Mus musculus: one gene and its partners. The protein of the gene in region 3 interacts with the protein of the main gene of each other region in a pairwise test. Links are inferred from orthologs where the notes say so. Each region holds a gene or a part of one and is shown on either strand. Other genes may lie near its edges. The genes, in order: Bend7, Fbxo7 and Psmf1.

Region 1 (3,650 bases), about 150 Mb from region 3:
GTCCCACCCGGAGTCAAGTTGCTGGTAAGAGCTCGTCACTCACCTCCTTCCCAAAACCAAACCCAGGCCTGAGCTTTGCCCTCAGCAAGCAGCCTGTCCTCACGGACCTCCCTTCACTTTAAGGCTTCCCACTCTTGCCTGGTTAACCAGAGGGAGCTTTTGGCTTTCTGCCTAAACTCTAGTAGAGCGGTTCTCAACCTTCCTAAGGCTGGGACCCTATAATACAGCTCCTGATTGCTGTGATGACTCTCAACCATAAAATTATTTTTGCTGCTACTTCATAACTATAATTTTGCTACTGTTACGAATCCTAACGTGACTATCTGATATGCAGGATCTCTGATATGCGACTCCTGTGAAAGGCACAGCCGGCTCCCGAAGGGGTCTCGACCCACAAGTTGAGAGCCATTGATCTAGCTTCTCCCTCTTCATCTGTCTCTCACTCATAACGGACTCCAGGCCCCACCCTCACAGGCAGATTGTTCCTCTGCTGAACCCTACACCAGCGGCTCCTCTGTGCCCCCAGACGAAGATGGACTGTATCTCACGGGCAGCATCAAGGTCTTCTCTCCTGGAAGCATCCTGCTTTTCCCCAAAGCCACTCAGCTATTTGAGAAACAACAGACAAACTGCCCAACACTACCACTGAAGGCCTCTGAACACTGCAGACTTTTCAGAGGCCCTTTTCTTTTCTTTCTTTTTTTCTTTTCTTTTCTTTTCTTTTCTTTTCTTTTCTTTTCTTTTCTTTTCCTCTCTCTCTCTCTCTCTCTCTCTCTCTCTCTCTTTTCTTTCTTTGAGACAGGGTTTCTCTGTATAGCCCTGGCTGTCCTGGAACTCACTCTGTAGACCAGGCTGGTCTCGAACTCAGAAATCCACCTGCCTCTGCCTCCCGAGTGCTGGGATTAAAGGCGTGTGCCACCACGCCCAGCTCAGAAGCCATTTTCTAATGCAAAACTCCTATCTCCCTGTGTTTTCTCCAACTTGTTTTATAGGAAAATTGCTGTAAAAATTAGAAGAATTATTCCCTATAGACTTCCATTAAACATTTTATAGCCTCATAGCTAAGAAATACTAGAAGATTAGAAAGGGACCTAAGTTGGAGGTCCCTTGAGCAGAGAGAGTCCATTTTTCTGGAGTCAAGCCCACTTCTCGTCCCAGGAACTGCTCCGGCCAGCCTGACAGACACCTATGAGCACAGCCCATGGAAAGCATTTTTGCAGCTCATCCTGGGACTCAGTGTTAAGTTCTCTATGTGAGGTTCTCAGCTCACTCATGTACTGAAGAGGTAAATTAAATGGTGGTGTAATGGGTACTGTAAAGATGACATGCCCACAGCTTTCCCACCCTTTCCTTACAATCATACTATCATTTAATAATCATTTTTGGTAAGAAGTACCAGAGTCAGCCATGAATAAAATGTAAACTGTTTGTATGTATTACATAAATAAATACTGATGTTGGTAAAACTAATAAAAATTCTATTCTATTTTGCAAATATACACAGGGTCTTTACCACACCTCCAATTTATTGATAAAATACACTTGAATCTTAACAATAAAAGGGTAAAATTCAGTTGTTAGTGGCACTAGACACATCTACACAGCAGATGATCTACAGTCTGTTCTAATATACCAATGCCTAGCAGAAAAGAATTTTAAGAAATTTAAGGAAAACATGACAGTTTATCAAAAACAGCCTAGCTGTACTTTATAATATTTTGTAATTATTATAGAATAATTTATCTGTTTTCAAATATATGATTCACCTAGGGTTTGAACCAGGCTTTAGCTGTTGTGATAACAAAATACGATCAAACAAGGGAGCTGGTCACACAACCAAACTTCACTACCAAAAGGATTTTGTAAATTAAATATTAGTTTAGAAGAGTTTAATGGCTTTAGCACACACGTATTATTAAAACAAATGCCTCTTTTAACAGTAAAGGTTTGGTGAAAGTGCAAAGAATTTTCTAGATTGAAAACATAGTGAGATGATTCTTTTCATTAAAAGCCCAAATGTAGATAAATGCTAGCAAACTGCCTTCCTCTCATGATACTTACAGAAATCAGCAATTGTTTCCTATTTAAAGTTCAGGAGGCAGGGAGAAACTCCAATCCTATAGGAGTCTGTGGGAGCGCTCGGCAGGAGCCTCACCCTATGCAATCTGGGAACAATACATCACTTTTTCCTGTTTATTTTAAGAACTCTGACAACAAGTTGGGATTCACAACGTAAAGGTACTCTAGATAAAGATATTGTAAATAGAGTATGCAGCTGCAAATTCAGCACATTATGACAGAAATTCATTTATGGGCCCATGAATATAAAACAGCATGTCAGATGGATATCTCGGATGCAATCTACCGTCCCAGACTGCAACATCATTCAGGCCGTGATATTAAAATAGCAAACCTTTGCAGAGCGTTAACCTATCATTACACGGAGTAAATGGCATGGCACTGCCACCTAATTAGCAGTGTGGCTTGCATCTATAAAACAGAATTAGCACCGCTGCTCCTTTCTTATTTTTAGTTTGTGTTTCCACAAAGGTATGACCTTATCTGTAAGCTTCTGTTCATTTATGCCCGTCTACAAAGGATTTAATTATATTCTCTTAGTTTTCTACATTGAGGAAATTGAAAACTGCCACTTGGAAATTAAAAATCGTAGAGAAATTAGCGAGCAGATTATTTACAACACACCCCTCTCCTTTCTGAGATAAGAAGTGGGATGTCTGTGAACAAGGAAGGCTCACATTTTTCCGGTTCTTACCAGTCTCCTCCTCTTCCTCACATGCATGCCTCTCTTCTTGTTTGGGGCAGAACTAGTTAGGTGGAAAGAGTCTTAATACTACAAGGTTCCTGAAACTTCTATCAACCAGGTTGGCAGCCAGAACATATCAACTTACATCTGAGGACGGCGATTCCAGAACAATGCCAAATCCCAGGACGTGGTTCTCCTCGGTGGAGGTGCGCTCTGCAGCTTGGAGACCTGGTGGCCTTGTGGCCGAGGCTGCTGGCTTCTTCTCAGTTTCCAAGGGACTGGGCTTTGGTTCCACAGCCGTCACAGGTTGCACAGTCTTCGGAAGCACTTTTTTCTTTTTATTTCTCTTGCGTGAGACGGCGGTTCGCTGGGAGCACATAAGGGAAATTGGGGGTTGTTGTCTGTTTTGAGTTCCAACTGTGGACAATAAACACAAATATGGTACAGGCACTTGTGTCTGAGGAAAATCTACCCTGGCCTGTCTCTGCGATATACACGCTGACTCTGAGGCTTGGCTCCCTCAGGATGAAGAACAGATAGATATATCTCACTCAGCACCTTAAAGTCCTAACAGCAGAGTGTTTCTCACCAGGAGAAACAGCTCTGAATGTACTGGATCATCAGACCGGTACAGCAGCCTGGCTTCGATGGAAGGAAAGGGTTAAGAGCTATGGCTTCATGGTCATGTGGCAGGTTTGAAGGAGAACCCCAGAACATAAATCTAAGTATAGATGCTCATGCTCTCTGGTAAGCCCATCCTAGCAAAAGCCCTAATGTCTCTGGAGTTCAGCTGATCAGTTACAGCCTACAAGGACACGATGATGATGATCTGGGCAAGACTGGTTGAAAGAAACAGTTTGGAAGAAGTCTATCTAGAACAGGGCTA
Region 2 (3,650 bases), on a different chromosome or scaffold from region 3:
CTCAGAAAGTAAACAGTGTTAGCCCAGTTAGGTGGTACACACCCACAACCCCAGAACTTGAGAGACAGAGACAGAAGAACCACAAGTACAAGGCCAGCTTCAGCTACATAAAGAATTTGAGTTCAGTTTGGGCTATACAGACCCAATTTCAAAAGTATAAAAATAAAACAAAAGATCAGAATGAGATGTAAAATCCTGGTCACCCAAATGGATCTCCTACTGTGAGATCATGAGAACATTCCAGAAACCAGTGGTGGTTGGGAAAGACCTGTGTGACATCATGACTAACATGAAATGCAACCACAGGTTAAGACTTAAAGAAGTAAATAAAAAGAGACATTCACAGACATGCACAAAAGAACACTCTTCTAAGTTTCTACACAGTAAAACTCATTTTATTTCTATTACCACAGCTCTCACAGAACCAAGTGTTCAAAAAATGAGACATCGCAAGAAAGAGCTGAGGCTGGAGAGGTGGCTCAACGGTTAGTTATAGGCACTGGCTGTTCTTACAGAGGAGCCTAGTTCAATTCCGAGCACCCACATGGCAGTTCGCAGCATCTGTAACACCAATCGCAGGGGATCTGACACCTCTTCTGGCTTCCACAGGCACCACATGCATGTGATGATGCACAGACAGATAGGGAAAACACTCAAAACGTAAAATAAAAACAAACGGTCAAAAAGAAAACAAGGGGGCTACCCTGAGAGTGAAGGGTGCTGTTCTAAACCAACATCCTCGCATTTGAAATCTTTCAGGCATATGTCATCAGTGGTATAGGAATTAAGTTGTGAACGACTCGGACAGACACTCAAGTGGCTACAGAATGTTTATAAAGAAACTACTTAATTCATAAGGCAGCAACCATGACTGCTCCGTCCCATTACCATTTATAATGATTAAGTTTCCCAAAGGCACACAGGTAAGCACGGCAAAGCCGCCCTCGCAGAGAGGATGTGTGTACTGCAGTTTGTATACACCACTTGACTTCCACTTCTCAGGCATTGTCACTGCTTTGGTTTCAGTTCCCTGAAGAATGAAAGGAAAGGAAAAATAATGAAGAAAGGCGTTGTGTTGAAAAACCTGAAAGTCAGTTAACACCCCTAACTTACTGTGCAACACAGCCCCCCTTAAGCTACCGACGAGGCTCAGCAGATAAAGTGCTTTGTCACAGAAGCCTGATACTCAAGGTGAGCCACAGAAAGGTGAAGGCAGACAACCAACTCCACAGATCTCTGCTGACTGCCACACATGCTACATGGTATGCACACGCCCCACAGACACACACCTCACACATTTTTATAAAGACGCATAGCCTCAACATAATATGCACATCATTAACACTAAAGGAGGATAATATTTTTCTATCAAAATATTCATTTTAATAGATAAGATGACATCATAGAAATAAGGCTTAATTTTTCTCTTCTAAGGCTCACATTTTCTACCTAGTAAAGACATACCATTACTCAAGACTGCAGGGTGAATAGCACTTCCTTCATACAGCCCTTTTTAGAAAAGTTATTTTCTAACATTTACTCACATTTCTATCACTGCATATTTATTATTCTTTGTCAATTTACACTGTTATTTGTAATATGCCATATTTGTCTGGTCTTTTGTGCTCCTTTGTGAACTCTGAGAAATGTGTGCACAGGCGTTCCCTGATCCTGGGTTACTCTCCATCTTTGTGCTCTATCCATGGCCACAGGGAACATGTACAGGCCAGCAGCGCAGGGGTCAGGCCAGAGTATGCAAGAAGCCCAGCTCTATCCTCAGCTTACAAGTCAGAATCTCGGCTCTAATACGGTCCCATGGATTCCCAGCTCCACTCTAACTCTTCATCCAGAGTCCCTGGCACTCTGGATGTGTAAGTGTCTCTCCTAGAACTTACACATTATACTATAATGGTCTAAATTCTTCTCTACTCTCAGACTAACAGTAACTTAAACAAAGACCTAAGACCAGGAACAGAAACAAGTCACTGAATTAGTAGATGCTTAACAAACCCATGCTGAATGACGATAAGCAACCACAGCACAAGCCTATGAACACGACACATTAATTAGTCAGCATCATTCATACTCAGTCCACACTGCCACACTTTATCTTGATATTATAGTATATAAAACCTTGTGTCTTTTTTTCCCCCCTTTTGGACCAGTTGCCATTATCTCTGGGCAATACTAAATGCTAACAAGGGAAATGATGGAAAAAGAAGGAATGCTGGAAAGGGCACATTTACTGAGTACCTGTGACAACTCCTCACTGTGTCTGACATTTTATATTCAAGAACCAATCACATTTAGTAAAGGAAGATAGACTATCACGATGCCCTTGTGAAGTACCCAGGGAGACATCATGACTTAGTTAGGGCTTTACTGCTATGAACAGACACCATGACCAAGGCAACTCTTATAAGGACAGCCATTTACTTGGGGCTGGCTCAGAGGTTCAGAGATTCAGTCCATTATCATCATCAAGACAGGAACATGGCAGCTACCAGGCAGGCATGGTGCAGGAGGAGCTGAGAGTTCTACATCTTCATCTGAAGGCCACTAAGAGAAGACTGGCTCCCATGTGGTTAGGAGGAAGGTCTCATTGCCCATCCCAACAGTGACACACTTCCTCCAACAAGGTCACACCTCCTGATAGTGCCACTCCTTGGGCCAAGCATATTCAAATCACCACACCTCCTAAGGTATTTGGGTTGCACTCACCTGAGGAATGTAGCCTGACTCGAGCATCAGGAGATGCACCAGCACTATCAAGGCATCACTGATGTTGGAGCAGCCAGCTGACTGGTACAGGGTCTCTAGAGAATGTGGTACCTGCCCATCCTCTGTTTCATTACAGAGCATTGGTTCCAATGGATGGAAACCAGAAACCTCTTCCATACTCATGGCATCCTGAATTGACTCAGCTTCAACATTTTGACTAGGCCCTTCCTAAAAAGGATAATAGATTCATTAATTTTACATAGGACATTTTATAACCTAAACTGAGCAGAGATTAGTGCTCAAAACAAAAGCCAGCATGAGGTTCAGATATAGGAAGCTCTTATAAATAAATGACACTGCAACCTACACCTCTGTCCTGAGTCCCATAACTCCAGGCTAAAAACATGGAGCTCATCGGTAAGTCTCCATACACTTACTAAACAGTACCTAATTGTGCTCATAGCTCCAACCACTACCATGCCCAGATCTCTCTAAAGCTGTACTTCCTGTGCCACTGTACCTCATACCCCCATTATGTGTCTCCTGAGTTCCAGGAACAGCACCTCCTCAGAGTGCCTGCCTCCCCTTCTTGTCTCATATACACCATGTACTCCTGCCAGTTACCCAAAGTTAAGGAGCCAATCACATCTTATGTCCCAGTTGAAAACTCAGGATTTCCTCAAGACAGGCAGTACTGTTTCCCACAATTGTACTTTAAGACTGTGTCCCTGAATGTTCTTAGAGAAAAATTGGTACAGAGTCAAGCAGAAAAACACTACATGCATGCTACGTCTGCCTAATCTAACCCTCTACATTCACAGGATCCGGTAATAACCTTATAAAAGCTCTGAGAGGTCTAAAAATAGGAGTCATGTGTTCATTTAACAAAAACGCATTTGCCTTCTTCCTCACACTTAGCATCTTTGCTA
Region 3 (3,650 bases):
TAAGCTCTTTTGCAGGTACCCAGTTACCAACAGAACCCAAACATCCACCTGCCAGCCCTCAAGGATGAAGTTGATGCACAATGGACGTCTTGTCCTTGTCTCTGCATGGTCTGTGGCCTCAGAGCACAGAATGGCCTACACCTTCAAGGTGGTCAGTGCCTGACCCATGGGATCCTTCAACAGCTAGGGAGCCTGCTCATGCTGGATTGAGCCCCAAGCCCAGCCTCCCTGAGACTGGCCCTGGTCCTGTCAGTCCAGTCTATCTCCCCATCTATCCTGGAGCCACACATGGTTGGGCTGCCGGCCATGGAACGAAGCGCTTGGTACTTGATTTGGTGTCTCCTGGAACAGTACGCCATTGTGCTCTTCCAGCTTTATGGCACAGGGGTAGAGCACTGCCAGTGCCTGTCAGCTGGGGCTTCAAATATCTAGATAATTCTACAGATTGGGAGAGCTTGGACACAGGCTTCCAAAGACAAAGGCTCCCCTTCCTCCTGGCTGGACCCATGTTCCTATGCTCTTGTCAGTCCCAGGAGGACATGAAGAGCAGGTAATAGACACAGCGTACCTTCGTTTTCTCTTCTCTAGTACCTAGGGCTATTCCCATCCACACAGCTCACTACAGAGCTCCAGTGAAGGCACCTCTGATTTCACAGGTCGTTACTAGGCTCCTAAGAGAAAGGACTTCTTTAGGGTCACTATGAAACTAGCCTACAGGTCTGTTCTGTTTATTCCTCTACTTACAGGCCACTGCAGCCCAGGGAGAGTCAACAGGCTGCTCAGAGCAACTGGTTGAGCATGCCCTTGGGAGGAGATGGCAGTTTTTCTAGTGTGCCTGCTTTGGTGAAATCATCCTTGTGGCTCATGGATTCCAATCACACTTCCACCCAGAAAGCCTGGGTGGGGCTCATCTTAGTGATGTCAGGAGCAAGAGTAACTTGTGACTCGAGGGTGCTTGAGAAGAATGCCCTGTAGGAATCCCGTAGTCCTATGCAGTATCACACTCTTAAGAGTTTGTGCATTAACAAAAAGGAGCGTGGAAGACTGGCAACATGTATTCTGTATTGACATTTGGTTCTTAATAATAACATCCAAAATGCGTTCTGTTCTTATAGCGCTGTGACCGCGACTGCATCGGGTGGAGGGCTGATGTTGCCGGAGTCTTCCTTGCAAGTGGGGAGGAGCTGGTGATTGAGACACACTAATTTCTCCGTGGGACCTATATGCAGCTTGGTGGGGTGCTGCAGCAGGCACCTCGGCTCTGACAAGGGCTGGGGATGCAACCCCAGCAGGCCTGCAAACACATGGGCAGAATCCTCTGCCCCAAGCCCACAAGAATACTGACGCTGATGGGGCCAGTGGTGGCAGCTCCTGGAGAGTAAAAGGGAGGCTGAGCTGTTACATTCTTGAGGCCTTCACAGGTACATGTCATCGTAGCCCGGTGGGGGAAGATGGTCAGGGTTAGGTCTGCAATGTAAAGAGGGTCTAATGAATTGGAGAATGAGGCTGAGTACGCAAGAAACATGCCCCGTATGGAGGAGGCCCACAGAGTGACATGGAGTTTAAGATCATGAACTCTAGGGCCAGATGGCCTGGAACTAAATTTTACCATGGCTTAAACACCCAGTCTCCTGGCCTTGCCCTTCTCATCTATAAAAGAACTATTGACATAAGCATTTCTTCTCCTGTGTTGTCCTTGCAGGGTCAATAGCGTGCTGGACAGTTTTACATAAAGTTGATACAAATTATAGTCATCTGAGAGGGGGAACTTTGATTGAGAGAACATGCCTCCACAAGATCAGACTACAGGCAAGCCTGTAGAACATTTCCTTAATTGATGGGGGAGAGCCCAGCCCACTGTGACTGGGGCCACCCATGGGCTGGTGGGTTCTGTAAGAAAGCAGGCTGAGCAGGCCAGGGAGAACAAGCTAGCAAGCAGCACTCCTCCATGGCCTCTGCACCAGCTCCTGTCTCCAAGTTCTTGCTCTCTTCGAGTTCCTGTCCTGACTTCTTTTAACGATGAACCCGTGATATGGAGTCAAATAAACTCTCTCCCAAGATCCTTTTTGTTCATGGTGTTTCATCACAGCAATGATAACTCCAACTAAGACACCAAGGGAAGAAGGTGAGGAGAGACCCCCTAGGCCTCCAGGGAGGCAGCATGGCAGCTGTGCCTGGAGTCAGATACCTCGGCTGCAGTGCTGGACTAAGCTAAGCGGAGCTGCCATCAGGTCCCACCTCTCAGCATACCTGAGTGAATACCTACCCAGATGGGCTGGTCCCAATGGGTCCAAAGGGGTCAAAGCGAGCTCCTGGGGGCACAGCACCAGGAGGAAGCCGGTTTGGGAGGCCTGAGGATGGGTCAATAAGTACTCTTGGGAAGCCGGATCTCAGGGGATCCACAATCATGCCACCTCTCTGACACCTGAGACAGGAAGGAAGCTGGGTAAGCAGGTGTTACAGAGACTACTGCCCTTGAAGAAGAGAGACAGGCATATAGTGAATAAAAATTGACCAGCATGACTACTCTAGAAGTCCAGGAAGACAGGAGAGCAAGTCAGAGTGAACAAGAATACAAAGAGCACACAAAGTTGTGCACCACTGGAGCCAAAGGGCCTGCAGCAGCAGAGGAAGTTCTGTAAGGATTCCGTGAGCCCACAGGACAGAGATCTCTGACACATCTTACATTTAGTAAGATCAACTGGTCAAGAACCAGAGCTAGAATTGGCCAGGATCAATACAGAACTCTCCAGCTCTGCAGAGTTTATCCTAAGTCTAGGAGTAATAGCGTCAATACCATGATGAGGGTTTGCTATTTTCTTTTTCTTTTTTTTTTTGGTTTTTCAAGACAGGGTTTCTCTGTATAGCCCTGGCTGTCCTGGAACTCAATTTGTAGACCAGGCTAGTCTTGAACTCAGAAATCCGCCTGCCTCTGCCTCCCAAGTGCTGGGATTAAAGGCGTGCGCCACTACCGCCTGGCCGAGGGTTTGCTATTTTCTTAAGGGCCTCAGCACAGCTGCTAACTGCCTGTGGGTTGCCCAAGCCTGGCTCCTGCCATTCTCTGTCCCTCACTGAGTTCCACAGACCTGACTTCATGCACTCAAGCTGAGATAAATAGGCTTACATGCTGAGGTCACTGTCTGAGCCGCTCTGAAGAGTTAAGTGAGTCCTATGATCTAAAACTGAGATGCTAAAAGTGGGGTCACTCTTCAGCAGGAGTTAAACCTCATCTGACTCACTCAGAGAACACTGCAGAGCTGAGGGTACAGAACCTCTGCTGGATACAGGATGAGAATCAGAGGATACTCCCTTTGTGGAATGAGGTAACCACTAAATAGCCTGAGCTGTTACTCTACAGCCTGTGGCCCATTGTGTGGTTTTCCTTTTGCATCCTTATGACTCTTGCCCAGGAGGGTCCCAGGTCTTTCTCTGAACTGCTCTGGGTATGGCAGACCACAGAAAGTAGCAGTGACTCCTCAGCCACTCATCACTACCTCCTTCACTCCAAAGGGAGGGGAGGCTGACGAAAGCTCTAAAATGGGATGAGCTGGGCTGCAAGCCACTAAGCAAATTATACTGTTGCTGCCTCCCCAGAAATACTCACCCAAAAGGGTCTAGGTCATCTCCCCCGACAGCAAATGGGCTCAGGG

The links.
Region 1: the proteins of Psmf1 (region 3) and Bend7 interact in a two-hybrid assay, tested with the Homo sapiens proteins (2 studies listed by BioGRID and IntAct). The two-hybrid records come from large-scale screens. The link is inferred for Mus musculus from reciprocal best matches to the Homo sapiens genes PSMF1 and BEND7.
Region 2: the proteins of Psmf1 (region 3) and Fbxo7 interact in binary tests that used the Homo sapiens proteins (3 or more experiments, as listed by UniProt). The link is inferred for Mus musculus from reciprocal best matches to the Homo sapiens genes PSMF1 and FBXO7.

The regions. Positions count from the first base shown.
Region 1 is NC_000068.7:4,752,251-4,755,900, reverse strand, and holds part of Bend7 (BEN domain-containing protein 7), read right to left. Parts: intron 3,182-3,650; coding exon 2,910-3,181; intron 1-2,909.
Region 2 is NC_000076.6:86,028,308-86,031,957, reverse strand, and holds part of Fbxo7 (F-box only protein 7), read right to left. Parts: intron 2,950-3,650; coding exon 2,722-2,949; intron 1,031-2,721; coding exon 889-1,030; intron 1-888. UniProt on the Homo sapiens protein: Substrate recognition component of a SCF (SKP1-CUL1-F-box protein) E3 ubiquitin-protein ligase complex which mediates the ubiquitination and subsequent proteasomal degradation of target proteins and plays a role in several biological processes such as cell cycle, cell proliferation, or maintenance of chromosome stability.
Region 3 is NC_000068.7:151,717,219-151,720,868, forward strand, and holds part of Psmf1 (proteasome inhibitor PI31 subunit), read right to left. Parts: coding exon 3,605-3,650; intron 2,426-3,604; coding exon 2,267-2,425; intron 1,468-2,266; coding exon 1,416-1,467; 3' UTR 1-1,415. UniProt on the Homo sapiens protein: Plays an important role in control of proteasome function. Inhibits the hydrolysis of protein and peptide substrates by the 20S proteasome. Also inhibits the activation of the proteasome by the proteasome regulatory proteins PA700 and PA28.